Linked DNA regions of Arabidopsis thaliana. The protein of the gene in region 4 interacts with the protein of the main gene of each other region in a pairwise test. Each region holds a gene or a part of one and is shown on either strand. Other genes may lie near its edges.

Evidence for each region.
Region 1: the proteins of AT1G27290 (region 4) and AT5G11870 interact in a protein complementation assay, tested with the Arabidopsis thaliana proteins (one large-scale study listed by BioGRID).
Region 2: the proteins of AT1G27290 (region 4) and AT1G07550 interact in a protein complementation assay, tested with the Arabidopsis thaliana proteins (one large-scale study listed by BioGRID).
Region 3: the proteins of AT1G27290 (region 4) and BIR1 interact in a protein complementation assay, tested with the Arabidopsis thaliana proteins (one large-scale study listed by BioGRID).

What each region holds. Positions count from the first base shown.
Region 1 is NC_003076.8:3,822,412-3,829,858, reverse strand, and holds AT5G11870 (Alkaline phytoceramidase (aPHC)), read right to left. Parts: upstream 4,440-7,447; 5' UTR 4,140-4,439; coding exon 3,980-4,139; intron 3,871-3,979; coding exon 3,771-3,870; intron 3,701-3,770; coding exon 3,580-3,700; intron 3,207-3,579; coding exon 3,085-3,206; intron 2,982-3,084; coding exon 2,860-2,981; intron 2,782-2,859; coding exon 2,622-2,781; coding exon of another isoform or gene 2,618-2,621; exon of another isoform or gene 2,524-2,617; coding exon 2,496-2,523; 3' UTR 2,286-2,495; downstream 1-2,285. Other genes in the region: AT5G11880 (Pyridoxal-dependent decarboxylase family protein), read left to right, coding at 1-419, 524-698, 793-942, 1,054-1,215, 1,307-1,492, 1,589-1,711, 1,786-1,875, 1,973-2,053; SSP5 (SCP1-like small phosphatase 5), read left to right, coding at 6,464-6,821, 6,953-7,290.
Region 2 is NC_003070.9:2,320,619-2,329,963, forward strand, and holds AT1G07550 (Leucine-rich repeat protein kinase family protein), read right to left. Parts: upstream 5,953-9,345; 5' UTR 5,895-5,952; coding exon 5,813-5,894; intron 5,688-5,812; coding exon 5,150-5,687; intron 4,969-5,149; coding exon 4,490-4,968; intron 4,415-4,489; coding exon 4,270-4,414; intron 4,181-4,269; coding exon 4,109-4,180; intron 4,042-4,108; coding exon 3,970-4,041; intron 3,877-3,969; coding exon 3,799-3,876; intron 3,713-3,798; coding exon 3,567-3,712; intron 3,483-3,566; coding exon 3,286-3,482; intron 3,180-3,285; coding exon 3,053-3,179; intron 2,971-3,052; coding exon 2,905-2,970; intron 2,798-2,904; coding exon 2,611-2,797; intron 2,497-2,610; coding exon 2,091-2,496; 3' UTR 1,925-2,090; downstream 1-1,924. Other genes in the region: TRFL2 (TRF-like 2), read right to left, coding at 1-249, 350-430; AT1G07560 (Leucine-rich repeat protein kinase family protein), read left to right, coding at 6,702-6,786, 6,928-7,465, 7,554-8,035, 8,113-8,257, 8,363-8,434, 8,572-8,643, 8,725-8,802, 8,916-9,076 and 1 more.
Region 3 is NC_003076.8:19,602,352-19,610,437, forward strand, and holds BIR1 (BAK1-interacting receptor-like kinase 1), read right to left. Parts: upstream 4,797-8,086; 5' UTR 4,397-4,796; intron 4,268-4,396; 5' UTR 4,182-4,267; coding exon 3,342-4,181; intron 3,256-3,341; coding exon 2,233-3,255; 3' UTR 1,738-2,232; downstream 1-1,737. Other genes in the region: TGG3 (thioglucoside glucosidase 3), read right to left, coding at 73-188, 275-348, 401-528, 623-773, 871-946, 1,035-1,096, 1,205-1,261, 1,385-1,532; AT5G48385 (FRIGIDA-like protein), read left to right, coding at 7,120-8,086.
Region 4 is NC_003070.9:9,477,913-9,484,667, forward strand, and holds AT1G27290 (uncharacterized protein), read left to right. Parts: upstream 1-3,492; 5' UTR 3,493-3,875; coding exon 3,876-4,287; intron 4,288-4,647; coding exon 4,648-4,664; 3' UTR 4,665-5,080; downstream 5,081-6,755. Other genes in the region: AT1G27300 (uncharacterized protein), read left to right, coding at 5,412-5,552, 5,821-6,282; NTF2A (nuclear transport factor 2A), read right to left, coding at 6,703-6,755.

The DNA.
Region 1 (7,447 bases), on a different chromosome or scaffold from region 4:
TCAAGAATCCCATTTTTGTCTCTCAAGTCAACATTGAAGCCACTTAAACGCCTCTCCGTCAAAGCCGCCGTTTCCCAAAACTCCACCAAAACCCTCACGAAAGAATCTGCTTCCTCTTTCGACCACTGTTTCAAGAAATCATCAGATGGGTTTCTCTATTGCGAAGGAACCAAGGTTCAAGATATCATGGAAACAGTCGAGAAACGACCCTTTTACTTATATAGCAAACCTCAGATCACGAGAAACCTTGAGGCTTATAAAGAGGCTTTGGAAGGAGTGAGATCTGTTATTGGTTACGCTATTAAAGCTAATAACAATCTCAAGATTTTGGAGCATTTGAGGAGTTTGGGCTGTGGTGCTGTGTTGGTTAGTGGAAATGAGCTCAGGCTTGCTCTTCTTGCTGGTTTCGATCCCACAAAGTACGATTCTTTATCCCCAATAATAAAGTTTGAATATTTTTTTATTTGGTCTCATGTTGATGTGTAGTTTTTGACCATGTCTTCGGTGTGGATGAAATGAATAGGTGTATTTTCAATGGAAATGGAAAGTCTTTGGAAGATTTAGTTCTAGCTGCTCAAGAAGGTGTTTTCGTAAATGTTGATAGTGAGTTTGACTTGAATAACATTGTGGAAGCTTCAAGAATTTCTGGTAAGCAGGTCAATGTGTTGTTGCGTATCAATCCTGATGTTGATCCTCAGGTATGGTTAAATTTTCAATCTTTTAGCAGCATGTCCTAGAATCTATTCTTTAGCTTGGATATGAATGAGCTTTTTCTGTTTGTTACCATTTTAGGTGCATCCATATGTAGCTACTGGGAACAAGAACTCGAAGTTTGGTATTAGGAACGAGAAGCTTCAATGGTTTCTGGATGAAGTGAAGGCACATCCCAAAGAGCTGAAGCTTGTTGGAGCTCATTGTCATCTTGGTTCTACCATTACAAAGGTAACTCCGACTATAGTTCCTTTTAATTTGTGTTTTAATGTAATCAATCTCTTAAATTTTAACTCTTGAGTCTTGAGCTTTGCATATTCACGTATGTTCTGTTTATTTCAGGTGGATATATTCAGAGATGCTGCGGTTCTCATGATTGAATACATTGATGAAATCCGGCGTCAAGGCTTTGAGGTTAGCTACTTGAACATTGGTGGTGGTTTAGGGATAGATTATTATCATGCCGGCGCTGTCCTTCCTACACCCATGGATCTTATCAACACCGTAAGAACAACAGCTCAAAACTCTTTTCTTTATCTTGATCTCAAAAGTACTGGAATGGTAGAATCTTTAGAATCCTGGATGTGTTTCATAGGTAAGAGAGCTGGTTCTTTCACGAGACCTGAATCTAATAATCGAGCCAGGGAGATCACTGATTGCAAACACATGTTGTTTCGTCAACCATGTAACTGGTGTGAAGACGAATGGAACTAAAAACTTCATAGTGATTGATGGAAGTATGGCTGAGCTTATCCGTCCCAGTCTTTATGATGCCTATCAGGTAAAACAAATATACTTTTCACAACAGCATCTGCAGATTCTAGTCCCTTTGAACTATAGCTAAACATCCTCTTGTTTTTGTTTTTTAACGCAAAAGCATATTGAGTTGGTCTCTCCTACACCGCCTGAAGCAGAGGTTACCAAATTCGATGTAGTGGGTCCTGTTTGTGAATCTGCTGATTTCTTGGGCAAAGACAGAGAGCTTCCCACTCCTCCACAGGTATTATAAGGATCTGATTATGTTTGGCAGCTCAAGTAATATGGAATCTAATTAGTTTCTTGTATACGTTACAGGGAGCTGGTCTGGTGGTTCATGACGCTGGTGCATACTGTATGAGTATGGCTTCCACTTACAATCTCAAGATGCGTCCCCCGGAATACTGGGTAACAATACTGTTTCTTATTATCGTTTTCTGCGGAAATTTAGCGGAGGGTCAAGATCCTGAGAGAAAGTGATTGATTTATATTCTTCTTTTTGCAGGTTGAAGAAGATGGGTCGATCACTAAGATCAGGCATGCTGAGACATTCGATGACCATTTACGTTTCTTTGAAGGACTATGAACTCCGAGATTTACTCATCATTGTTGCTATTTTAGATGAATTGTATGATTACGTTTCTATAATGCTATTGCTGTCTTGGATTTTTCCACATTCTGTGCTATGATTTAAAGTCCTCAATAAAGTGATCATATGAATAAGAAACAGGTCACAAGTCAAGACCGAAAATAAAAGGTGTATTTGTGAGTTATGATTATTCTTTTGGTTTCTTTTTAGTTACTACATGTAAAATTGTCCATTGTCCAAACACATATATAAGACTTGAATAAGTAACCTTAAAGCCAAAGCTGTTTCAGAACCAGAAACCAAGATTACACCAAGCTAACGATGTTTTAGTGGGATCATGGGTCAAAATCTATCTAGCAACCAAACAAAATTTGTAATACAAGAATCCAGAAGCATCTAAATACAAGAGAAAAAAAACTTGAGGAGTCAGTAATGAATGTCAAGGACGGCCTTTGAGATCACCTAATCTGTTTTAGTTTCCATCATACAAAAGAAAAGTGAAAAATCCTCTCAGGTTTCAAGGAACTCAAAGATCAAAGAGAAAGAGTCAGTGAAAAAACGTTACCTATTAAACCGAATGCTTCTATACAAAAGCATAATGGTAAGTAAAAGCGTAGCCACGGCAGAACACAAATGCTCCAGTGAATGCCCACTGATGATATATCGATTTGCATTGTATATTTTGTTGTCTGCAAGTCCTTCAATCTTGGCAATAGTGTACGCCGCTGCATTCATGATAAGCAGATATCAGAAGACCGTGGATTCTAATAAGAAAACCGCAAATGTGGTTTTGAGTTAAAAACCTGTTGCCCAGAGCCAGAATCTAGAGTGTGTATATTTGGGAGGTAACAAAACCGCCATGACGGGAATCACCAGACACGGTATCAACTGGAACGTCATGCATAACCGGAGATCATTAAACACTCTGCCATCAACTAAGACACATATAATTTCAATCCGAAACCTGACTAAAACCATGAACATATATGTATACAGAGGAGGTAATGCTTTCTTGGTTTTAATGTTACCTGGCGTAAGCAACACTGAGACATGATATAAATAGAAGCAAGATGAGGCAACTAAGTCCCACTTTCTCCCCCGCTCTCTCAACCAAAAAACTAGAGAAAAGCGACGAATACGCAATCAATATCTGCAATTTACCGTCATTAATCAACAAACAGCTATTCATAAACCAACCATCAAAAATGATGAGCAAAAACAACTTTCCATTCAATAAAACCAAAAACCACAACTCTACACCCGAAAAATCTCTAAAGCTTCTTTCCATTAGCTATAAGAGTTGTGTTCACTTCACTATGTGCTTGTAGAACCAACCAATCCAAGAAAAACCATGAAGTCTAATCTAAGCTTTTTTACATAGCTATAAGATGATTCTTCAACTTTTTGTATTCACAATGTGCTTGTCAATATATACAATTACCGCATCACTAATCAAGAAGCAATGAATGCATAACTGAAAGAAGATTCATGTTCCGAAGAAAAGTAAAGTGAGAAAAACGAACAGGCAAAGTGTCCCAGACGATTCTGTTGTCATCAGGTTTGAGATGATAAAAAGCAGAACCAAAAGCCAAGCTTGCAATGCCTGCGTAGAACAGTGTCCATCCCCAGATCTCACCATTTAAACTGCATTACAACAACTCAAATTGTTAAACTAACTCAAAATAAAACTCAAAAAAGGGAAAGAGAATGATACCTTATGTTGAAGAAGCTTCCTCCAATGCAAAGAACAAAACCAAGAACTCCAACGATAAGAAAGGGAAAGTTGGTCATCACATTCAATGTATTAGGCACTCCTGTTCATCATCAAACCCACACAAAACACCTGTCTCTCGTTATTACACATGCACAGAGACAGAGAGAGATAAAAAAAAAAGAAGAGAGAGTGTGATATGATGATGATACCCATGAAATTGCGTTTATCGGCGAAGATATGATGGCGAAATGAATCGAGAGGAACTTTGGGAGTGATGAACATGATGATTGACCAACAGAGGAACGATCCCACAACCAAAATTCGTTTCCTTTTCCATCTCCCTATCTGTTGATTCGTCAACCACACCATTAAAAGTTCTCTCTATAAAGGTGAAGACTTTAAAGGTTTGTATTGTTTGAAGTGGATAAATCAGTTATCTCTGTTGTGTCTGATTGATTAATCTTCTTCCAGTTTAAGAAAGAAAAGGGAAGACAGATTTATTGAGAGTCGCTTTTTTCGATTAGAACAACGTGCGGCGGAATCTCTTTTTTTCTTTTTCCTTGAGTCTGACGGGTACGACGACGACGATCGATCTCTAATGTTGTCGTAGTTGACGAGGACCGCTCTAAACGTCTACGTTTTGTTTCTATTCTATTTTATTTGTAAAGTAACCCCTTACATTTTTATATCTTATATATATCCCACCCCATGTTTCTGAAAGTAATATTTTCACTCCTATATATATGTACAACGTTTCAAAACTTGGCGGGAGTGGTTTTAGTTAACTGTTTCCTGGTTAGTGTTTCTAGGAGAAGGAAAAGTTAACTAAGAAAATTGCTAAATTATATATCCTTGATGTGTTGTTGTAGTTCTTAGAAGTAACCCACATAGATAGCCATGTATGAAACAAAAACAAAAATGGGATTAACATGAGACAAAGTTCAAAAGAGAATGAACTAAGAGTCTAAATGCTCTTTATGCTACAAAGTATTCAAGAAAACGAAAGAGTATAAGAGAAAGATGGGGAAGAAGATGAAACAATCATATGTATTCTCAAATTACAAACATATATTCTAAAGCTCAAATTGGGAACGTAAATATATCAATGTTGTTTTAAGCCATCATGTCCTCTCTGAATCATCCATTGTGCCATGCTTGAATACAAGTTTGATGTTGTTCATTTCTTTGAATAATATTGGCAGGTTGAGTGTTTTTCAGTTTGTGTTGGATCAAATTGTCTTTTATTTGGATTTCGTCGTAAACATAATCAGCAGAACACGTCATTCATGTCATACCTCTTAATCTTTTATGTGTTTGGTAATAAATCTGCATAATCATGACATGAAACAACATTCCACAATTCTATATAGCATTCTAGCTATAACCAATGAAAAATAGATCATCCTATATATAGTAGTACTAAACAAAGATTATTCTAAACCAACTTAACTTGTAACATCAAATCTAATCAAGTCACATAATCTTGTATAATTTCATTTTTCAAAGAAAATATTCAAAAGTCTTCAAAACGTTTTTTTTATTCCAATAATCCATAACATGCATGTTCAATTTGTAAAAAACAGAAGGTTCCTTTTTAAGAAAAAGACACTTCTCTAGTTCTCTACGGCATCGTTGTACTATCCTCCAACCGGAGATGACGTCATCATTTACCGGCCTAATACTCTTCGAATGTTTGGGGTTTAGTTTAACAAATCAAAAACTATCGAGGTTACTAATGAAATATTAATAAAGTATGAGGGCATTTAAATGAAATATTTCATTGCTTATGTAGACTATAGTCGTCTGTCATTCATTTCGAGCAAATATTTTACTCTTTTATTTCGAAGAGAGAGAGAGAAGAAGACGGAAGCTAGAAGAAATCGTTTTTGATCGGAGGTACTTTTTTCCGACGAATATACTCTCTCTAGGGTTTTCTTTTTTCTCTCTCTCCCTCTCCGTTTCTTCTTCTTAGCTCTTCAATCTCAGCTCGAATTTCTGGGCTACTGAAGTTTAATCTAGGTGTGCGCTTCGTTGAAGAAATTTTGAAATTTGCAGAGAAATTTGCGGAGAAAGCGGAAAGATTAGATTTATCCATCGTTTATCCCAGTAAAAAGCTTTGATTTTTCCACATGTCTTTTTTCCCCCCTTTTTTCGTATTAAAAGCCCTAGATATATATATCAAAATTGAAAATTATCTGAAATCGATTTCGTGGGTTTCAGTTCCGGTTCGGTTCTCTTTCTTAAAATATTGATTTCTGTCACTTTCCGCGATGAAAAGTTTTCGAATTTTGCTTCTTTTGGCTCCAAAGTTTTTATCTTTCAAATATTTTAAATCTGGGTACTTTTTTGTTTTGGTTCCTTCTTTGTGAATTGTATCTAGGGCTTTGCTCCTTTTCTAATCCAAGATCTGTTTTCGTTCTCAGATAGTGTATGAGCTAGTTGTTTGTAATTTGACGGCTCTCGGGAACTGATCTATCTCCGGTGTCTCTGCTTTGTCGGTAGCTACAGGAGTGAAGAGAGTTTCTACAAGGTAAATTTGAAAACTTTATCATTGAACCTTGTACTTGTAGATTTATAGTAGTGTTTGGGTATGAATGTGAATAATGGTCAGATATTGAAATTGTGGAGTAGTTGCATTAGGCTCTGAGTTCTGTTGTCTAATTCAGTTACAAGTTGATGTTAATAGGGTTTTAATGGAAGATGATGACTCTCCTTCTTCTCGGGATTTGGATGCACAGAACCCTTATGATCGATTGCTTGCTCTAGATACAAGTACCGTAGATCCAAATTGTAACTTGGATTCGGTTTCTGCCATTTATCTAGCGATGAAGAGCTCTAAGCTGGAATGTGTTGACGAGCGTGGTCAAGATTCCCTTATTACTTCGGTATGCATGGAGGATGAAGAGGATGAGGAGCTCGATGAGTTTGATCCTTATCTGTTTATCAAGAACTTGCCGAACCTGTCTTCTGTTGTCCCAACTTTCAGGCCGGTCTTGCTTCCTAAACAAACCCGAAGCTGTCCTCCTATTTCTCTTGTCCTAGACCTTGATGGTAAGGCTACTTTTCAGTTGATTCGTTTGTTTAAAATTGTATCTCTCTTTGCAGGTTTTAATGGCACACAAATCTTAGTTTTTTCTCACCAGGTTTTAAGGCTACTATAACATATATGTTTTATTTTGCAGAAACTCTTGTGCACTCGACTCTAGAGCCGTGTGGTGAGGTAGATTTCACATTCCCAGTGAATTTTAATGAAGAAGAGCATATGGTGTATGTGCGATGCCGTCCTCACCTCAAAGAGTTTATGGAGAGAGTGTCCCGACTTTTTGAGATCATTATATTTACAGCTAGCCAAAGTATTTATGCTGAGCAACTTCTGAACGTGCTTGACCCTAAGAGAAAGCTCTTTCGCCATAGAGTGTACCGTGACTCGTGTGTTTTCTTTGATGGTAACTACCTCAAGGATTTGTCAGTCCTCGGGCGTGATTTATCTCGTGTTATCATTGTTGATAACTCCCCACAGGTATTATACTCTTATTATCCTTCTACACAGTGAGTAAACACGTTTAGTTCTCCATTCTTATGCTTTATACCTAAACCGATCGATAGATGCTTTTATCAGCTATAATTGTAGGATACACTTCTAGTATAGGAAAACTATAATAACTATGAAAGGTAGT
Region 2 (9,345 bases), 7.2 Mb from region 4:
AGAGACAAAGAAACTCCGTTCAGCATTATTATTATCATGATCAGAATTTGTAGTCTCTTCTTCCACCATTATATCGCCGCCGTTAAGCGGCTCTTTCTTAACTGCACACTGATCTTCATTATTACCAGAGGTATTGTTACTTGAGGAAGAAGAATTCCCACCTTCAAGCAGCAGTTTTCCAGCTACTGCAGCCAACAAATCGAAAGACGATATTTGATGGTTTTCGCTTTTCTTCTTGAAAGCACTCTTCTAGCAAAACACAAAACACAAACATATATATCAGAAGGGAACATTAGAACATATATAAAACTGATAAGAAACACACAAAAAAGTTAAGAATTGTATTTACTCTTGGTGATCTGGCAGCTCGAGGTGTGTGAGGCACCTCATAGCCATTGAATCCATAATCGGGCCTCTTTTGCAACACCATGATTTGAAGAACATTTCAATCATTCAACAAAACGAAGGCATTCTCACGGATTACAAGATCCCTGGAGAAAAACAATTAGGTTACTGAGTCCAACAATGTATTAGCATTTATCTATAAAATTTCTTACGTTGCAAGAAAATCTCACATACTGTATATGTGATAGCAGATTATTTCCAATTTCAGACATCATTTTTTGTAAAACCCTAGCTAGAATCCAAGTTATTGAAATTTCCACGATCTAAAGCCTCATTTGATTAATGACCGTAGAGTGAAAACAGAGCATGAATTTACCAAGAAAAATAATGAACAATTCTGGTCTTGTAATATTTTCATGAAAAACAAACACGGTTCAGCTTCTGTGAGAAACCAAATTACAACATCAAAAAACCCTCAAGCTAGAAAACTATAAACATAAAAAACCGCAATTCAAATTGCAGATCCAAAAAAACTTCAAAAATAATCTCACCTTTTCTTCTGAAACAAGGTGAGATCAGAATGTTTATGATCTTATTTTCTCATCAACCCACACAAAGCAAAAAAGTTTCTGTCTTATTATTTATTTTTTGTTGTGGGAAATCGAAAAACCCCTTAATGTGGGAAAAAAGCACGGAAGGAGACAAGGGCTTAAACCCCTGGTCTTATACGAGAGTAGTAACACAGAGGACGTGTCTGAAAAAAGAAGAAGAGCGAATAACCGGCTATAACCAGTAAACCCCACCCTGAAGACCTGTTCTTCTTCTCCCTTCTTGGGTCACCACCACTGTCTCACGTACTTCCCCCTGATTCGGCCACGTGTTGTCTCTGTCGGATCGTCCGGCTTTTTTTACAACACACAAACTTCGACAATAACGTTGAGTCACACATGCCATGTAATGTTTTTTTTTTCCTTTCAGTCCAAGCCATGTCATTCTCCTGTTTATTTTATTTTGTCTTTTTCAGTTTTTCTTCTTCTATTTTATTTTATAATAACAAATTTGTTTTCATTGAGAACCCTATCTATTTTCTGATGCAAAATACTTTAACCTAAACCTAATTAACCTAACCGATCGATCAATTCGGTTTGCAGCTATCAACCGATCGGCAATGCTTCAAATATACTTTGGCATCACTGAACCGAACGGTTCTTCAGTTCTTTCCCAACCTGCCGAGAATCCGAATTGAATAGTCCTTCTAAATGCTGGAAACTTTGAACGGAACGATGGATCTGAGAGTAAATACCGAAGTGAAGCTCGTCTTCTTCTTCTTCTTCTCTGTCGGTAGCATCGAAATCGCGAAGGACAAAGAACACGTGTTTCAAGAAGATGAAATTAGGATTTCTTCTTGGGCTTACAAAGTTCCTACAGCCCAAAAAATAACATTTCTACACCACAGCCTACACTTTCGGCCCACAAAATAAAAACCCAGTGAATTTCCAAGCCCACCGAAAAAACCGAACCGCATAAACAGATTCTTTAAACCGAATAAAATCACAAATATCTGTATGAGTGGATATTCTTCTTGTATAATTAAAAGAGTACTTTCAACTTTCGATAGCACAAGAAGAAGCTATTAAGTATCAACACGTTCAACATACAGACTTAACACCCAAATTGTGCAATAGACGCTTCATAATACAAATTATACAGACTGATCATTATACACCCAACCATGAGAATAATGACTAACGTGCCTTTGGGTTTATTTCGGTGTCTACAACTATGCTCAGTTCCAGAGGACTGCTTAAGTCCACCTCTTGGCTTTTTCTCCACTTTTCACATGTTTCCAAACATTCGTTTAGCACATGAACGACCTGAGACATGTTTGGTCTCTCTTTGGAAGTACGGTTCACACATGACATTGCCAATTCAACAACTTTCCATGCAGAACTTGTGTCATAATCTTGATGGAGGTTTGGATCCACTATACTTTCAATATCACCATTTTCGAGTATAAAACTGGTCCATTCCACTATGTTACAATTTTCACGGGATAAATCAATCACATCTTGGCCGCTGATGATTTCCAGTAAGACAACCCCAAAGCTATATACATCACTCTTCATGCTTAACAAGCTGGTTTTGTGGTACCTATAACAAAAGATTTTAAAGATATGGTTCACTTTTTTTTTCAGAAAGCAAGAAAATCGATCGAAGACATGCATGTTTAAATGTACAATGTGATATAAATCCTCCACTACTTACTCCGGATCAAGATATCCAAATGTTCCAGCAACAACCGTAGGTTGAGCTTCATTTCCTATTAGGAAGGATCTTGAGAGTCCGAAATCAGCAATTTTGGCCTCAAATTCTTCACTCAACAATATATTAGTACTTTTGACATCTCTATGAACGATTTTTGGCTTGCATCCAGTATGCAAATACTCAATTCCTACCATATGTTAAACCTCGTATGTTAACTAATTATCATAAATATGGAGTTTAAGAGAGAATTTATATATATCAGCTTAAACTATATATAATAATATTTCTACACACCTATGGCGGATTCAAGAGCTATTTTAAGTCTTATCGGCCAGCTCAAAACAGAACAACCAGGTTTTCCTGCAATAACAACCAAGTGGCTTAAGAAGTTTGTTTGAAAGAGAACCTATAAATTGTTGTATCAAATTTTCATGTGTTTTACCTGAGAGATGCTCTTTTAAGTTTCCCTTTCCCATTAACTCGTAGATGAGAGCTAAGCCATTATCATCATCACAATATCCAATGAGGCTTACTAACTTTTCATGGTGAACTCTTAAAAGTAGTTCGACCTAACAATCAAGGACGACATAAAGAAAAAAGTGTAACCAATTGATTCCTGATCTCAAACATTAACCTCTTTTTCCAAAACTTTAGTAAAAGATTTAATAAGAATACCTCTGTTTTGAATTCTTTATAGCCCTGAGCTGATGAATGAGAAAGCACTTTAATAGCTGCTTGTTCATTATTTAAACAACCTTGATAGACAACACCGAACCCTCCTTTACCAATAACAACTTGAAAGTTATTTGTCATTTTGTTAACGTCAGAGTAAGTAAATCTTCTATTTTCCGATTTGAAGGATGAGCGTGTAACTGCATAGAAAAATTTAACAGAATTCCATGAGAGCTATACAATATGGGATTATATTCTTCTATATGTTATTCTCCTTTAAGTACCTTTCCCAGCAGATGGCTTTCTCCTTCTTAAAACAAATATGAGAACTAACACAAGTATGATAATGGCCACTGCAGAAACAGATGCCGCAACCGCAGCTGTTGGGAATCTTGTACCGCAAGACACACAAATCATATTTTCGTCAACCCTAAAGAATAAAGAACGTAGTGAATTTCAGAAACGAGAGTGGGCACGTAGTAAATCAATAAAGATCATCTCAAAAAGAAATCTTACAATAGCTTTAATCCTTCCTTTTTTCTATCAAGAAGGGCTTGAGGAACCAAACCGCTAAGTTTGTTTCCACTTAAGTTTCTGTGAATATATAGACAAATCAGTAGATCATCTAGTTAGTAAATGTAAAACATTATGATAAAAATGGCTTATTTTGCTTTCAACAACACTTACATGACCAACAAATATTTCATCTTGGCTAGAAATTCAGGCACTTTACCAGTCAAGTTGTTTTGGGACAGGTCCCTGTTGCAACAAAAAATTGTTAACAAGTGTTTTGAATACATCTTCATTTTGTTATAGAGATACGTACAGTTCTTGAAGTTGAGTTAGATTTTGTATGCTAGGTGGTATAACTCCATTTAATCCACTTGAAGACAAATCTCTGTTTGGAAGATCCAAGACATATCACATCAGATACATTTCAGGGCTTAAGATTTGCTAACAACATTGAGTTAGAATAAATGCTCTCACAATTTCACGATTCTTGGTGGTGTGGACACATCAATTACGTTGCAGCTTAAGCCAGTCCACAAAAACTGTTTAGGGACACATGGATCGCCCTGCCAGCTGATTCTGTTCAGTCCATAACTAGCTTGAATATTCTTTACAGCAATGACTGAAACATGGTGCAAATTAGCAAGAAATAATACGTGTAAAAAGCTATATGCATATTTGTTCAAAGGCAACATACCATCATTTTGATTTGTTTCTGATTGAGGAAACTCAATGCCCGTGAAAATTTCGAAAGCATTCATCAAGGGTGGAAGAGTCGATTTCGGAGTTTTTATAAGTTGCAGACGACAAAATCCTCCCTCGCATGTCAGTGGTACATTGTTGAACATAACTTGTGCTTCAAATCTGGTAGGACGGAAAGGATCGAAATGAACTTTATTATTTACCACAACTTCGAATTCTCTAGTTTCATTGGCCTGGACTTCCATGATCTCGGCGATGTAAATATAACCGTAAACCTGGTCAGTAGCCGTCTTCAAATTCCAGGTAATGGTCATTGGATCACTGGCATTAGCGGGCATGGCGCCGGTCCTAAGTACATCTTGTGGTGGGTCATAGCCATCTATAGAATCAATAACGTGGTGACTTGTGTTTATATGCGTCCATTCTGGTAATATCAACGGCACCCAAATTCTATCATGCACATCTTGGGGATAACTGCCAAAATCAAGTTATATATTTTACTTTACATCAACTAATAACAATAATTAATACTGTATAATCTTGGTTTACGCTAGATGGCTTAAATGACAATAATATTAAAGTTTTTGTGGAGATTAAAGTTTCTGCTCATAATCTACTTTGGTTATTTATAAAGCATAAGGTGAAAATAAGGTACCGTATATAGTTGTTTGAATCGGTGAAATAGAACCGGTTATAATTCCTCAAGGAACCGGTTTGAGCAATATAAGTATCATATAGCAAGGGTCTCAACTCTATGGATGATATCATTGGTGTACTCGTCCCTGTCTTGACGAGACATATGTCCAAGATGTTAGACCTTGTGATGTGAATGATCTCCTCCAGAACTCCATCACCTGACTTCCCCATATCTATGGTTGTCCAAATATTAGGACCAAGATAGAGGTCGAATCTTGGAGAATTGTTAAGCCCGTCATAGTTTCCATATCGAAACATAACCCTGATTAGATAATTTGTGTCTTGCTTGACATTTAGACTGTAACAATTTCGGATTCCATCCGGAAAGTATCTCAAAACCGTATATGGCTTCCTGAGTTTCATAAGCAAGTCTTTTTGGACATTACCAGTTTTTCCTCCTTGAATGAAATCAGCATCGGATATGTACGTCAGATTGCTATTTGCTTCGTTGTAAGGAGACTCGTTAGAAGCTAATCCACAATCCAAACTGATGAATCCTGGTAAGACCGAAAAGGGAGAGGTACATATTGTTTTTCTTATATAAAGTTCTATCTCAAAAAAAAATTTAGAATGGTTTATTTCCAAAATTATTGTAAAAAAGAAAAACAGATGATAAAAAGACCTTGTTGATTCTGAGATTGAACAAGATGTAAGATGGATAAAGTGGCACACGCAGCAAACAGAAGCCTGGTGCAAGTGTCCATTTTTGATGATTTCTTCGTTCACAACTAACAAAACTTACTACTACCAAAGTTTTGAAATGGACAAATTTTTAGTGTTATAAGCTGCAAATGGAATTAATCATGGTGACGTCTACGTATAAATTTTGTTTTAAAAACTTAAACTTTTGCCATGGTTTTATCTAACGAATAATAACAGCTAACCACTGGTATAATATCCATATAAAATAAATCAAGACGTTAGTGGTTGATTATAAAATTTTTGAAATGAAAAATATGCAACCAGGTTATATACTCTCTATATTTTAAAAATCTCGATTCATTTGTTCACTTTTGCTTATATTCGTGGTTTGATTCTGACACGATCGGTGACTTTGCCATATATGAATATGACATCCCTTCACACACACGGTAATAACTCATTTTCTCAGGTTAATCTACTATAGGTGTGCTTGATGATAACCAATTAGAATCAATCAGTTCTACTAATTTCCACTTGCAAACCTTTTTTATAAAATTTAAACATGACACACACTTGTCAGATTTTATAATTCCACTTGAGAAAAGTCTTACCATAATCAAATTATTAGACAAATTATTTCGAATTTGGTTAGAAGATCGGTCCAACTCAATAGGTGGCTTATTGTTATTGGTATGTGAACGTTGACATATTTCCCGTTATGATCCGCCCCAAGCAGAAATATAAGTTAATAAATAATTATTTAACAATTCATCCGTTTTTTATATCCAAAGGTTTGATTTGGCATGTTTTATATTGCAAGTACATTGGCAATTCGTAATCCTTTTTTTTTTTTGGACAGAGGTGGGAAAATGAAAAACCTCCGTGGACTTCTATTGGCCTTCCTAGTTTTGTCTTTAGGCATTTCCGATTTTCTTCGAGCACAAGATCAACAAGGTATAACTTTTTTTGTTTCAGGTTTTCTTCTTTTAACTTTGACTAAACATGTTTCCTATCACAATTTAGTCATTAATTCAGTTTCCAAACTTATTTTTTTACCAAATTATTTCTCTGTTTTTTTTCTTTTGCCTTTATCAGGATTCATCAGTTTGGATTGCGGGTTGCAAGCCGATGAGTCTCCTTATACCGAACCATTAACAAAGTTAACATTCACATCAGACGCCGATTTCATCAAAAGTGGAAAAAGCGGCAAGATTCAAAATGTTCCGGGGATGGAGTATATAAAGCCATACACGGTTTTGAGATATTTTCCAGATGGAGTACGAAACTGTTATACTCTTATCGTCATACAAGGCACAAACTATCTGATCGTAGCCATGTTTACTTATGGAAACTACGATAATCTTAACACACACCCAAAGTTCGACCTTTATCTTGGTCCAAATATATGGACCACGGTCGATTTGCAAAGAAATGTAAACGGAACAAGGGCGGAAATCATTCACATACCAAGGTCAACTTCTTTGCAGATTTGTCTTGTTAAGACGGGAACAACTACGCCGCTAATATCAGCTTTAGAACTACGACCATTGAGAAATAATACTTATATTCCTCAATCTGGTTCCCTCAAGACATTGTTCCGCGTCCATTTGACTGATTCCAAAGAAACTGTTCGGTAAGCCAACTCAAAACCAATTGGTAATGAATAGATTGGTTTCCACTGGATACACTGTTCGGTAATACTTTCCATCCTTTCTCTTCAGGTATCCAGAAGATGTCCATGATCGTCTTTGGAGTCCATTTTTCATGCCGGAATGGAGACTGTTAAGAACAAGTCTCACGGTCAACACTTCTGATGATAACGGCTATGACATACCGGAAGACGTAGTGGTTACGGCAGCCACACCTGCAAATGTGAGTTCACCATTAACCATTTCTTGGAATTTGGAAACACCTGACGACTTAGTTTATGCATACCTCCACGTCGCTGAGATCCAATCCTTAAGGGAAAATGATACCAGGGAATTCAACATTAGCGCAGGCCAAGATGTTAACTATGGACCTGTTAGTCCTGACGAGTTTCTAGTGGGTACTCTATTCAATACATCACCAGTTAAATGTGAAGGAGGGACATGCCATTTGCAACTAATAAAAACTCCAAAATCAACTCTCCCTCCCCTCCTCAATGCTATTGAGGCTTTTATAACAGTGGAGTTTCCGCAGTCTGAAACTAATGCAAATGACGGTATGTCAGCAAAATCTGAGTATATATATACTTTTTTGTATATACTTAAGTGTTTTCATTCTGTTATTGTGTGTTAGTCCTTGCTATCAAGAGCATAGAAACAAGCTATGGATTAAGTAGAATTAGTTGGCAAGGAGATCCATGTGTTCCTCAACAATTATTGTGGGATGGTCTTACCTGCGAGTACACCAATATGTCTACACCACCAAGAATCCATTCCTTGTACGTCCATGGCTATTCGTAACATTAAAACAGTTTTTTGTTAAGCTCTGCATTTCGTAACATCTTACACTTTAAATGTGTGTTATGATCTTTAATTACCACCAGAGACTTGTCCTCAAGTGAACTAACTGGAATTATAGTTCCTGAGATCCAAAATCTTACGGAGCTTAAAAAATTGTAAGTATGAACACATTGCCAATTTTTTATCAAGGTCAAACACATACTCTGTTTTACCTGAATACTCTGTTTTACTTGAATACTCTGTTTATCAAGGCCAAACATATAATCAATTAATTCATTTTTGCATATGATAGGGACTTTTCAAATAATAATCTAACAGGTGGAGTACCTGAATTTCTAGCCAAAATGAAATCATTGTTAGTCATGTAAGTTACTTGGTCACTCATATGAATCACATTGCCAATTTATTATCCGAGTCTGTTGATGTTTATTTTTTACCTAGGCAGAAACTTAAGCGGAAACAACCTTAGTGGATCAGTCCCTCAAGCTCTTCTCAACAAAGTGAAAAATGGGTTGAAGTTGAAGTAAGATCTTCTCAACTATATTTAGTCTTCAATAGTTGATGGTCATTGAAATATGATATCTTAATTTGCAGTATGTCTTCACTAACACTTGATTAGCTTGTTTACAATACTAGCATTCAGGGAAATCCAAACCTATGTTTTTCCAGTTCATGCAACAAAAAGAAAAATAGCATCATGTTACCAGTTGTTGCATCACTTGCTTCTTTGGCTGCTATAATAGCAATGATCGCTCTGCTTTTTGTTTGTATTAAAAGACGCTCATCAAGCAGAAAAGGTATCTGTATCAAATTCATCAAACCAGAAATATTATTGTATGCATACATAATTATAAAGTGATTTCTAATTATTTGTGTATGGTTCTAGGTCCATCACCAAGCCAACAATCAATAGAAACAATAAAGAAAAGATATACATATGCCGAAGTTCTTGCCATGACAAAGAAATTTGAAAGGGTTTTGGGTAAAGGAGGATTTGGAATGGTCTATCATGGTTATATAAATGGTACTGAAGAAGTAGCGGTCAAGCTACTCTCTCCATCATCAG
Region 3 (8,086 bases), on a different chromosome or scaffold from region 4:
TATACACATGCCTTAATAAGTTTCTATAAATGTACATCTATTATTTATTTTTGGATATATTGAGAGATATACCATCCCAAGAAGAATTCTTTGTTCCTCTCAGTCGCATCTATGTTGGCTTGAGTGCTATCATATGGAACAAACCATCTAGTAATCATCACAACTCCAATCTGTCCTCTTTGTTTTGGCTGTTGTGAGGAAGCATTGCATATATATATATAAAATTATCTAGAATCAGATGTCAGATTATATCTTTTTCAACCAGAGAACTCACCTTATATTTTTTCCGGTAAAGATGGACGACTTTGGCATGAGCAAGAAGCTGGTTATGTGCAACGATATAAGGTTCTTCCAGAATCTCCGGCGTAACAATCTTTATTAAGCCAATAAGAACATCGACCCGGTGCATCTGTTCCCATTGCATAACCTCTAGTAGGAACGGTATAGAGTTGGTTGATCGTGATCCACTTCTTAACCCTATCACCGAATATCTTGAAACATAGATTCGCGTAATCTTTGAAATCGTCTCTGCTCATATTATAGAATCATTTCGTTAATGCGAGATCAAATCTTTTATATGTTGTCATATTTATTAAGAAGTAGCATGGCATCGATAACATACATGATCTCATGGTTCAAGAAACCTTCATATTCATCTTGCAGAACTTGAGGAAGGTCCCAATGGAAGAGGGTAACAAAAGGAGTTATATTCTTTGCTAGGAGGCCATCTATGAGATCGTTATAGTACTTAACACCTGCTTGGTTTGATTCCCCTCTTCACCTTTCCTCCTGCTCATATAGATCGTAGATTTATTTTTACGACAAACAATATATATTCATATATACATGCATGGATTAATGTGTACATACTTGGAGCGATTCTTGACCAAGCAAGCGAGAATCTATAGCCGTCAACCCCGAGTTCGGTCATTACGTCTATATCTTTCTGTAGTAATACAAATAATCACATGTAAATTCCACACGTAGTTGATAAAAATTCAGTGACTAAATTCAGTAATTCCACACGTATTAACCTGCCAGTGCTCATATGATCCACAAGTGCTGTCTCCATTCCCTAAATCGGGTCCTCCTTTCTCTGGTAGCGTACAAAGACATTACTATGAATGTATAGAGAGATAACGTACCGACACTTCTCTCGTATAAATATGTAAGCCTTTATATATCAACCATGCAAACGACAAACCTGGATATCGGTGAGTGAAGCCATCCCAAACGTTAAGGCCACGGCCTTTTCCACCTTCTATCTGAAGTGAAACAAAACAACCATGCAACGTTGGAATTTAGTGTTAGTGAATTGTTTTTTACGTCAAAATTGGGAGAATATGTGATCTGTTGCATGCCTGGTAAGCAGAAGATGCAACACCGAAGATGAAGTCATCATCGAAATGTTTTCTGTTGAAACGATCAGTTTGGTTACATGTGAATGGCTTGGTCTCTTCGCACGTAATCTCTTCAGCTTTGCAAGTCTCCACTGCTAATAGAAGAACTAAGCCGAGTGCACGAAACTTCATGGTTAATCGGTACATGTATGTTTTCATTCAGCTGCATGGAAACCTAATGCGGTCTCAATTAAACTTTAAAAGAAGAAGTTTTTGTAGAAAATTTAATCTTTGCTTTGTATATTTGTTTTGGTGTCCTTAAATAGAAATTTTACATCAAGGAGCTAACGAAATGGAATCATGGATTCCTATAAAATTGGAAGTGAAAAGGTGATGTAAGAACACTTGTTAATTCTTCTATTATTGTCGACGAGAATTAAGCAAAAAAAAAAGAAAACCAAGAATTGACTAAGTCTAGTTATTTTGAATTTGGTATTCTTGACCCAATCATTCGTCATTGCAATATATTTGTGGTTTGTCCAATTTCGGACAGAGTTTCGTTGAAATCTCCATAGTCAGTGGGTCCAAATCGAGCACATAGTTAGTCTTCAAAGATATCCCACGTGATGACTGTATTCTCCTCAACCAAATTAGTGCTGCAAAATATAAGGCAGCAAAGACGTAGTGGCAAAACCAAAACAGTGACTGTACCACACACCCAAAGCTTAGTACATAGTAATAAGAGAGTGCATCTAACAATATATCATATTACAACACACCATCGACGACGAGAACCCAAAAATAAAATAAAAACAATACTTATACATTATATATATCTTTGGACTGCTACGACTAGAGATGTTTGTTTCACAATTCTTACCCTTCCTCTTGATCAACGAGCAACTATGAGCTCTTCAATGAAATCGCCTTCACCTGATTCAGATGGGATTAAGATATCATCATCGGCGGTGAAGTTGTAGCTCTCTCCAATGGCTCTTAGAAGCTGATAAACTTCAAACATGGTTGGCCTCTGCTTTGCTATTTCCGGTAGAACGCAGTTGCATGCTACTTTGAGTACTTTGAAGATTTCATCATCCACACCGTTCCCAAGTAAGGACCTGTCGATTGCTTCCTGCAGTTTTGATTCACTTGATAGCTTTGTAATCCATTCCACGAGGTTACCCTTGAAGTTTTCTTCCTCAGCTTTTTCTTCAGATACTTTTGTTACACTCGTTGCTTTTTGGCCCGTTACTAGCTCTAGAAGCACAACACCGAAGCTGTAGACATCTCCTTTTGGAGTTGCAACCATGGTTCTTGAATACTCGGGAGCAACATAACCGAAATCCCCAAATTCTCCATTGACGAATGTGCTTAAATGGGTATCAATTGGGTTCATCAGCCTAGCTAGACCGAAATCCGAGATCTTTGGCTCAAACTCTGCAGTCAACAATATGCATTTCGAGCTTATGTTGCGATGGATGATTCTCGGGTTGCAGCTATGATGAAGCCATGCCAATCCTTTTGCCGTCCCAATCGCGATTTTCAGCCTTGAAGGCCAATCCAAGGGCTTGAAGGATTCTTCATCTGCAGGATGTAACTGATCATAAAGGTAACCGTTTGCCATGTACTCATACATTAGAAGCCTCTCCTTATTGGCAACACAATAGCCCAAGAGAGGGACTAAGTTTCTGTTTTTAACAGAGCCCAAAGTCTTCATCTCTGCATCAAACTCTTTCTCAGAGCGTTGAGAATCCTGCAACCTCTTTATCATAAGTAGAGACCCGTCTTCAAGCCTACCTTTGTACATAGTTCCTGTTCTTCCTGTTGCAATGATATTATCTTTCTTGAATTCCTCTGTTGCCTTCATAAGATCGCTTAATTTCATCTTTGAAACCGATTTCTTAAACATGAAAACCTGAACATTCACAAAAGCACCAAACATATATCATAAATTTAGAACATAACCACATACAGCAAAATTCAAATCAATGATGTTTTTACCTTAACACCTTTCTGTCCTTTCAAGCTCTTTGCCCATCTGTTTCCTTCAGGATCATCCTGCTTCTTCCGAACAGCACCCAATTTACGGAAATAGAAGAACAAAACAACCCCAACGACTAATGCTGCTGCAGTCAGTCCACCAACTGCCGCTATAATAACAACTTTACCACGAGAGCTAGAAGCACTCTTACAGTCATCTAGAGGCTTACCACACAGATCCAGGTTATTAGCAAACAATTCCTGCTTAAACTGCAAGGTTTGGTTGAAATTTGGGATAGGACCAACGAGACGATTGTCAGACACAGAGAATGTTTTGAGCCGTCCAAGTTGCGCTAGCTGGGGAGGAAGAGTACCCGTGAACTGGTTATGCTGAAGCATAAGAGTGTTCAAAAAGGTAATGTTGGAGATCAACATAGGGATTTCACCAGAGAAGCTATTGTAGGAGAGGTCTAGAATCGTAACAAGTGGAATCAAGGTGCTAATGTTGGCTGGTAAAGGTCCAGAGAAGTTGTTTCTAGAAAGATCTAAACCAGTGAGATCAGCACATAGCTTAACCGCAGGAGGAAACACTCCTCTAAGACCATAACCAGATAGCTTAATACTCAAAACCCTATTCTCATCATCATGCCAACAAGTCACACCACTGAACTTGCAGATATAACCAGCAGTCTCGTTGCCAAAAACCCAAGTCGATAAATATCTATTTGGATCCTCTACTTGAGATTTAAAGGTCCTTAAGCAATCTATGTTGGCCTGATCCGCGTCAACCAAGCTCGAGAGTAGCAGCAAACAGAGACAATTATAGAGCCAGATTACAAAAACTAACCTACCCATCATCATAAATCCACTAAATTCCACAAAATGTGTAAAATCTCTATGAACTACAGCAACAAAATCAAGGGTTCTCTTCGATGAGCATCAAAATCCTGTAAGCAAATAAAAAAAAATCAAAACTTTATTAGCAACAACGAAAATTGGATTATCGCCAGCGAATCAAAAAGACTAAAGCGATCTTTAAAATTGAAGTTGACTTAGAAAAATTTACAACAACTTACGAATCAAAATCAGAAACACAAAACGAAAGCTTTGGTCTTTGTAGTCGTCGTTGTCGTGGTGGTGGTGCTCTTGTTCATAAGTGTTGAAGAGCACAATGAAGAAGGAGAAGAAAATCGCATCTGTGGCTAAGTGGTTATGAATGATGATGATGATGATGATGAAGAAAGGAGTTGGGAATAATTTAATAAAGGAGTCGTCTTTGTGAGTGAGTTGACTGGGACTTTGGATCGTCGTCGTCGTCTAGTGAAAGTTCGTGAAGAATGGGGCAAAGAAAAGAGAGACACTGATGATGAGAACGCAATGACTCCCAACAAAAACCAAATCGGTCTTTGCGCGTTAAATGTTTTTTTTTTCTTTCTTCTCTTTTTGACTTTTCAACATCATCATATATATTATCTTGTTTGTTAGGAGATGGACAAATTTTTCTTCCATTTGGTATTTTTCGCTTTTCATTCGTTTTTAGATAATTCTGGATATTTTGTAAATGGTTTTGGTGTTTTGACCAAATCAAAGAATGGAATATGACATTTACAAGAAATGTTTTCTTGGTATTAGTTTTTGACAAATACCAATGCATAATAATTTGTATCACAAAAATTGAATATCATGTCACATATTTAAATACTTATTAGGAGTAGTACTTATTTTGTTGTTGTTGGAATCTTTAAATTATGGGTTGACAGTTATATATATATATATATATATAAAAAGCTTGTTCATTTAGCAGATGTACCCGCCAACCACGGTTCAGCAAACACCCCAAAATGTTAATTCGTGTTGTTTATGTATTGTCAGTTTGTAACATAACGATTTTAGAAATTTTACAGAGTGTTTATATACAGAGACTCTAATACCATGTAGACTAAGAGTATATCGAATATATGAAACAAGATGATTACAGAGTGTTTATATACAAAGACTAGAAAGCTACTGAAGGAAACTTAATATTGTATACAATGATTATGAGCAATTAACGTGATTGACGATATTGATTCTCTTCATTATCTTGATTGATATGATTATCCTTGATAGTCAGTTTGTAACATAACGATTTTAGAGAGGAGATAAACCACGAATCACAACCTCTAGTCTCTCCCAAGCCAAATCCGCCATTCGTGACCTGAACCAACTTCGAAATTCATTTGATATTTGTAATGTTTTGTACCAAATCATTCACCATATATAATACAATTGTAGAATTCCAACAATTTGGGAAGTTGTAAGATTTATTTACTCTTGGTTTAGTCTTTCCTCTTTGACAAATACCAATGTATAACCAAACTATATTTTCATTGTTGCTCTTATTAAGAAAACAATCATATATAAATTTTGCATTCAAAAAAATTAGACACATAGTTTCATCCTTGGAGACAATTTATATGATCGAAACATCCGATGAAGAATATCAGTCTATGAAAGATTGTGCAATCTAGTTTTTTCCCCATTATAACATAGCCTTAAGCATGAAGCCAAAGCTTCGTCAACAGGTTAAAAAGATTGGGTGTTTGGTAAAAAAAGTTAAGGAATTTAAAGAGTGATTGATACACATAGATGGTGAATATACCAATTAATAGAAAAAAAGGAGGAAAGAGTAAATTACAAGTTCCCGGCAGTTTCAGACAAACTCACGTGACGCAAACTTTAAAGGGTTTGACTAGAGCCACATAAGCTGTCTGGTCCGAACCAGATATGATAGTGAAGAACGAGCCATTAAACCACACCAGTCTCTCTCACGTGCCAACTAAGTAAAATTGGGTGTGCTTAATAAAGTGTCTGTTATAAATCGCTTTGCTTCCTTTTATTTTGCCTCTCTTCTACTTTCCTCTTTCCTTTTTAGGGATTTCACTTTCCTCTTCTCTCTCTCTCTCTCTCTGCCTAACCTCGATTTCTCTCGATCGCTCTTCACCATGGATCTACGATCATGTGGTCCTTCTTGAAGTTTTTTGATCTCTTCTTCTTACGGGTTTTTACTTCGTTTGATTTTCCTGGTAAAGTTGCTTTTTTTTTATCTTCTCTTGAGGTATATACTTTTTTTTTGTTTTGAGTTCATGTTCGTGTTCTCTTCACTGTAGCTAGGGTTTGTTGATTTCTCCACAATATAGCTCAAAATTTCTGCTATGACCTTGAATTTTGGTCGTGAAGTTTGTTTATGTGATGGATTAAGCTGGGATTTCATAGAATCACTGAATCAGCTTGCTTGTTTCTACTCTCATTTCGTCATCTACTCTTCTCTTAATCTGTATTTGTATTATTTCAGCTAATTTTTTTATAAGTACGTCTGATTAGTTCTTGAGGTTGAATTATCTTTGTGACTAAAAAATAGTGTGAATTTTTCTTGAATGGATTCATTTTTTTGGGGGTTTCTTGTTCATTTGTCTTTACTTGCCTTGTAGGCCATTTTCTTACATAGTTGTCCACTATGACTTGTACGGTCTTGTTACAGAGCTAATTTGTTTTTATCTTTAACGAGTGATATTGTCATTGGATAGTTTTGACTGATCTTTGTTTATCTGTTCTTGATGATTTTTTTTTTTGTAGTTGTTTGTTGTTCAAGGATCGAGATTTCGTGGAGCTCTCTATTCGCAGCTTGGAGATTGGACTTGTTTGAATTGGTAACAATATTGTGTCTGGCCTCTAATGTCGTTGTACTCATGTTTGTTTTTATTTGTTCGGGACTTTTTAATCATTACTTAAATTTCCGTTTTATTTAGGCTCTTTTGTGATGGAGGATACTCGGTCAGTTGCTTCACTCATGGACTCTACATCATCCAAGATTCAGCAGCTTCAGAAGGCGTTTGCTGAACTTGAAAGTCAGCGTGCTGTAACACTTAATCTGAAGTGGAAGGAACTTGAGGAGCATTTTCATGGGCTTGAGAGGTCTTTGAAGAGAAGGTTTCATGAGCTTGAAGATCAAGAAAAAGAGTATGAAACCAAAACAAGGAAAGCTCAAGAACTGTTGGAGAAAAAGAAGGCAGCTGTTGAGGCTAAGGAGAAGGCGGCGCTTGAAAGGCTTCAGAAGAAGAGAGACGCAGCTATGTTTACTATAAACAGTGCTTTGGATAAGTATAACAACGCTCCTGTCAGTAAACCTTCTGTTGGTGAACGTTGGCCACAAAATGCTGTAGAGGATTCATCCAATGTCTTTGCTGCTGATAGTATTACCGATGATAATCCGGATGGTATTGTGCAAGATGTTCAGATCTCACCTGTGATGGGAAATTATGAGGTGAAGGCTTATCCACAGTTACTGAAACTGTGCGGGGATATGGACTCAACGGGTCTCCATAAGTTTGTATCAGATAACCGCAAGAACCTTGCATCACTAAAGGAGGAGATTCCTATGGCGTTCAGGGCTGCAGCAAACCCAGCCAGCTTAGTGTTGGACTCTTTGGAAGGGTTTTACCCTATGGAGGCACCAACTGCTGATGGAAAAAAAGACGCTAACCTCTTGGGCATGCGCAGAACCTGTATCATGTTGATGGAGTGCCTTAGCATACTGTTATCTGGTCTGGACCGCAACTGCCTTGCTGTTGTTCTCTCACAAAATGTTAAGCATAGAGCCAAAACTATTGCAGAAGGATGGAATCCACTGCTGGAATCTCTTGACATGGATGCTTGCAATGGTAATTCTTTGGAGGCTCATGCATTCCTGCAACTGCTGGCCACTTTTGCTATTGTTGCTGATTTTA
Region 4 (6,755 bases):
GTGGAGAATCGTTTTCAAACCAAAATCCGAACATTATATTCTGACAACGGTGGAGAATTCATTGCGCTACGACAATTCCTGCTAACACACGGCATTTCACACTTGACCTCTCTTCCTCACACGCCGGAACACAATGGAATTGCAGAACGAAAACATCGTCACATCCTCGAAACCGGGTTAACTCTTCTCACTCAAGCCTCTATTCCAACTTCATATTGGACATATGCGTTTGGAACTGCGGTTTACCTCATAAATCGCTTGCCCAGTTCTGTGCTCAATAATGAATCGCCGTATTCGAAGCTCTTCAAGACTTCACCAAATTACCTCAAATTAAGAGTTTTTGGATGTTCGTGCTTCCCATGGCTCCGCCCATATACCAATCACAAATTGGAAAGAAGGTCACAGCCGTGTGTATTTCTCGGGTATTCCTTAACCCAAAGTGCATATTTATGCCTTGATAGAAGCTCTGGTCGTGTCTACACTTCAAGACATGTCCAGTTTGTTGAGGATCAATTTCCTTTTTCCATCTCCGATACCCATTCAGTTTCTAATTCAAGCCCAGAAGAAGCTTCCCCTTCATGTCACCAACCCCCATCTCGCATTCCGATTCAGTCATCATCTCCGCCACTCGTACAAGCTCCGTCGTCGCTGCCGCCCCTAAGCTCAGATTCTCACCGCCGGCCAAATGCTGAAACTTCATCGTCTTCGTCCTCGACGAATAATGATGTTGTGGTATCGAAAGATAACACACAAGTGGATAACAGGAATAATTTCATAGGCCCAACAAGCAGTTCTTCAGCCCAAAGCCAAAATAATTCTAATCCAAGCTCATCCATCCAAACCCAAAATGAGCCCAATCCGAGCCCGTCACCAACACCTCAAAATTCTAGCCCAGAATCTTCACCATCGTCTTCTACCTCCGCCACGTCCACAGTCCCAAATCCACCACCACCACCTCCGACAAACAACCACCCAATGCGAACCCGAGCTAAAAATCATATAACCAAGCCCAAAACGAAACTCTCCCTCCTAGCAAAAACAGTTCAAACCCGACCTCAAATACCAAACACGGTGAACCAGGCTTTACGAGATGAAAAATGGAGGAACGCTATGGGAGAAGAAATCAATGCCCAAATACGGAATAATACATTTGAATTGGTTCCACCAAAACCAAATCAAAATGTTATTTCCACAAAGTGGATTTTTACACTAAAATATCTTCCTAATGGTACTCTTGACAGGTATAAAGCAAGATTGGTGGCTCGAGGTTTTCGGCAGCAATATGGACTCCATTACTCTGAAACTTTCAGTCCTGTGGTTAAATCTCTCACAATTCGCCTAGTTCTACAATTGGCAGTGTCTCGCTCATGGACAATTAAACAACTAGACGTAAACAACGCTTTTCTTCAAGGTACATTGACGGATGAGGTGTACGTCACACAACCACCTGGTTTTATCGACCCCGATCGACCACACCACGTTTGTCGCCTTAAGAAGGCGCTTTATGGCCTGAAACAGGCTCCACGCGCTTGGTACCAAGAGTTGAGAAATTTTGTTTGCTCGTTGGGATTCACCAATTCTCTCGCTGATACATCAGTGTTTGTTTACATCAACGACATCCAAATCGTCTACTGCTTGGTCTATGTTGATGACATTATTGTCACGGGAAGTAGTGATGCGTTGGTAATGGCTTTCATCACCGCTCTTTCTCGGCGATTCTCGTTGAAGGACCCGACGGATTTGGTATATTTTCTTGGTATAGAGGCAACAAGAACCTCACAAGGTCTTCATTTGATGCAGCATAAATATGTTTATGACTTGTTGTCTAGGATGAAGATGTTAGATGCCAAACCGGTGTCCACACCAATGGCGACACATCCTAAACTTTCACTCTACTCTGGCATTGCTCTAGACGAACCCGGAGAATACAGGACAGTGATCGGCAGCTTGCAATACTTGGCGTTTACACGACCGGATATTGCGTATGCTGTGAATCGATTATCACAATTTATGCATCGTCCCACAGACATTCATTGGCAGGCTGCAAAACGCGTCCTTCGATATCTTGCGGGAACTGCTACTCATGGTATATTACTTCGCTCAAACTCTCCTCTCTCGCTTCATGCATTCTCCGATGCTGATTGGGCTGGGGACAATGACGATTTTGTTTCCACCAATGCATATATTGTGTATCTTGGCTCTACACCCATAGCTTGGAGCTCGAAGAAACAAAAGGGAGTCGCACGTTCTTCCACCGAGGCCGAGTACAGGGCTGTTGCAAACACAACTTCAGAAATTAGATGGGTATGCTCTCTTCTTACTGAGTTAGGCATCACATTACCAAAGATGCCTGTGATATATTGTGACAATGTTGGTGCCACATATCTCTCTGCAAATCCGGTTTTCCATTCAAGAATGAAGCATCTAGCATTGGACTATCATTTTATTCGCGACAATGTGAGTGCCGGTGCACTACGAGTCTCTCACATATCAACACATGACCAACTTGCCGATGCTCTAACCAAGCCATTGCCTCGTCAACACTTTCTTCAGTTTTCAAGCAAGATTGGAGTGAGCAAACTCCCTCCATCTTGAGGGGGCATGTAGAGTATATAAGTAAAGGATAGTTTAGTAAATCATTAATCCCTAATTCATTCTAATGTAGTCCCTATATATATTGTAATTATATCATCTAATGAATTATTCAGCCTTCAATACTATAGTTTGATCATGTGCTTACTTTCCCTTCATTTGCGATACTTCAAGGTTCTTGCTGCCACTGTTTCTTTGAATGCGTCACATGTTTGAACATGTGTGTTCTTTTTGGATCGAAGCTTAGCTCTTTAGATGGAACTGAATAAGTAAAAGAGGTCACTGGATAAGCTCTGTTACTAGAATAATAGGAGGGCTTCTGCTTCACATTTGTAATCCTCTCTCTTTCTCTGAATTGATGTTGCAATTGCTTGTCATCAGTATCTGTATTTCCATAGATAACTGAACTCATTAAAGGGCAACCGAAGCTGCTTCGTGGTTTATGTTTCTTCTTTGTGGGCTATTTTGCTTTGCACTTTCACTTGTTTCTTAGTTTTGGTTTGATTTTTCATACTGGGCCCTGAGCAAAACAATTTTAGTTATATGACTTGTGAAACTTAAATGGGTTTTAATCGAATGGTAACTTCATCTAATTTGTTTGAATAATTCATCATGGACCTTAATGATAATATCTTGAGTCTACTAATCATTTCACAAATCCTTTCATTTTCCAACAGCAAGTAGCCTGATTTTTGAACCTCAGCGATAGACAGCTTAAAGTGCGGTCATTCTCGCAAAAAGCTATCAGTCTTTATTTGATTCACGAACATTATACACGAAAGTCAAAATTAAATAACCAAAAAAATTAAACAAAAAGCAAACAAGAAAACGACTTCTCTGGTATGATTGGAACAAATTTAATAGAGAGAGAGGTTAGATAAGAATGTGGTAGAAGATAAGACCCAACTACGCGTCATAACTGGGTCCCATCTTTGTCTCTTTCCCTTCTTCACTCGCCAACCCCATCGCGTGTCCCCACGCTCCTTCCCTTTACTTTTTCTCGTTATCCAAAACACGACGATTCTTCATTTTAGATTTTTTTCATTAATAAAAAAAAAAAAGTCTTTTATTGCAGAAATTTCGATCGTTTTTGTTGTGTGTACAGAGAGATTATCGTGTTTTGTTGGCAATCGCCATTAAACCTTCTTCCCTCTAACCCAATCAAATTTGCGGCTCTTTCTTTTATCTTCTCGCCTCGGTTTTAGCAAACCCTTTAGTTATCTTCTTCCTCAAGCAATTTTTCTTTTGGATTAGATTGGTGTTTTCTTTTGGTTTGTGTGGTGATGATGAGAAGGCAACGAGATGAACAACAATCTAGGGTTTTCTACGATCTATCATCTCTTGTTTTGAATCTTCTCCGTTCTCCTCCTATGCCGATTTCTTTACCTGATCATTTCCCCGATCCGCCCGCTAGAATTCGTCCTCCCTTTTCTTCGCATCGTTTTTCGTCTTCTTCGCCTTCTTTGGCTCATATTTCTCCGTCTGGATTCGCGTCGTTGCTGCTTGGTATATCTGTGGCTCTTATGCTATGTGGATCTGTGACTTTCTTCATCGGGTTTCTCTTGATGCCTTGGGTTCTTGCTCTGATTTTGGTTTTCTATGTCGCTGGCATCGTTTCTGCCATTTCTATGGTCGGGAGGTCGATTCTCTGTTACGTCTTGACGCCACCTTCTCCTTCCGGAAAGGAGATTTCTGGTAATTTTGTTGAATTTTAGGGTTAAGTTTGTCAAATTGGTTTCAATGATTCAAGCTTTCTACTTTCGTCTCGGATCTGTTTAGATTTTAACCAAAGTTTCCTTATTGATCATCTAGAAATGATTCCACTGGGTTTTGGTTCTGTCCTTATTTTGATAGAAATGGAGGTTCGAATTAGGGTTTTATTGAAAAGCACACCGATGTTTGTTCTGTCTTTGACTGAAACGATATTGTTCTTTTGTTTCCTCGTGGATCATATTATTCATGTTCACATTACTTTTGTTGTCTGAAATTAAACCTATGTTTGTATTAGTTTCATGTTCTTGCAATAATGTTTGTGTTTGACATGTCTATTCGCAGAATGGAAGCTTCTGTGAAATGATTAAACAACAGAGGTGAAGAATCTATACATCATCCGGAAGCAGAGCAGAGCGAAGCAGAACAAAAAAAAGAAGAAGAAGGATTGATTATATAAACACATATATCCGATAGAGTTTTTCTATGTTCTTTATCTGTATTTTGTTGGGGGGGTTTGGGAAAATCATGTGGATATCAGGGAGTTTTATATTTCTTTACATTTCGAAAAAAGAATTTTTCTATTTAACTACTGTTAGAAATAGAGAAGCCTTGTTATTTGTGCTTTCATGTATGTCGTTTTTATGTAACATGATCATTTCTTAAAGCATACAAAAAGATTTTAGGATTTCTGTTGCACTTCTTTCGATTTCCTTGCATTTTCGAAACACTCTGTGTTGATATCTCTTCCTTTAAATCTTCTTACAATATTTGCTCATTCTTGATCTCTTTTATGGTTTTAAATAATTGTCTCTTCAAGTTCACACGGAATCTAGTGTGAATCGAGGTTTAGTCGTGCAGAGTTGTGTGTGTTATTACATGTTTTATTATTGTTTAAGTATATTTATTTAGTGGAGGACTATACGCTATTTGCACATCTCAATGTCAAATTGCTCAAAAATGGTAGAGGTGCCGTGCCGTCAATAGATGTCACGTGTCCTGACTTGCCTTCTCAATACAAACAAAAATACTCTCTACCTAAAAAAACACAATAAACAACAAACGCATCTTTGGAGCGGCGGTGAGATTAGAGAAGAAGGGTTTGTGAAATGGAGTCCAGTGAGGATGTGGAGAATCTGAGTAGAGCTATTGAGAAGCTTCTTCATGAGAAGAGGAAGAGAGAAGCTTCTGGTGACGCCTTCATTGAAGACGCTGATGATCAGCTTTTCCTCTCTAGCCTTATCTCTCAGGTACTTTACCATCGCTCTGTTTTCTCCTTTGTTGATTTATCTGATGTTGCAGCCAATCAACTTTCTGGGTATATGATTGAATCATGAGTATTTGAGTGAGTCTGTGTAATTGTTTCGCTGTGATGTGTCTGCTTCGATTTTGATGAGATCCAACAAATACAAGCTTATCTTCATGATTGTGTTTAGTTGCTGTTTCATGTCCACAACATTATTTGTATTGGGATGTGTCCATTTCAGGCTTGTGCTAATTTTTTTGCCAATAACTTAGTTGGAATCACCAAACCCCAAGGGGAAAGAAGATGTCATAACCGGAGAAGAAGAAGAAAAAGAAGAAGAATCTGCAGATTCTTCACCATCCAAAGGAAAAAGCGAGGGCCAGAGACAATTGGAAGAAAGTATAGAAGAAATAGCTAAAGACATCAAGAAGGTGAAGAAGCAGAACAAAATAACCCATGTACTTCTCTCGGCTACGATCATCCTGACATTGGTTTGGCAGCTCTCTGAGTACTCCATGATTTTCATGTTGAAAGATAGAATAAGCCACCCAGTCAGATCCATCGGAGGTATGCTTAATGGAATGTTCAAAGGTAAGTTACGTCCAATCAAGAACCAACTTGCGGGGACTTCCAACTCCAATGACCAAAACAACCATGGGAATGGATCACACACTGGACCTCAACTTCAAGTGCCCGAGCTGTTGCGAGAATTCGGTTTCGACGATGAAGAATGATAGCTTCCCTTTGTGACTCAATAATACCAGTTGTTATTTAGGAACAGGGGTCACCCTCATTGTTTCTTTGCTTTTAGTATAAGTAGTTTACTTTTATATGATCAAAATGCGAAAGAATAGTTGCTTTCTCAAACTTTTCCACATGAAAAAGGGTTCCAAAAGAGAACCGTATTTCAAAAAATCTTTTGTTTTACCCTTACTGAATCATGGTTCAGTGCCCGAAAACAAAAGGAGTCATCTCAAACAAAGTAACAAATAGCTCCATTGATTAAAATAAAAACAGACAGCAAACCACCTGAAACAAAGCTTAATGTTCCAAATCTAAAACCAACTCAAACAGTTTTTGAATAGTCCCAAACTTTCCACCACTCTCTTTTCAGCTTCCAATAATGGTTCCATGTACCTCTGGCATCAAATTCCTCAGGCATAGTTCAACCTGAATATGTCATTGAACACGTAGTAGTTTCCCTGAT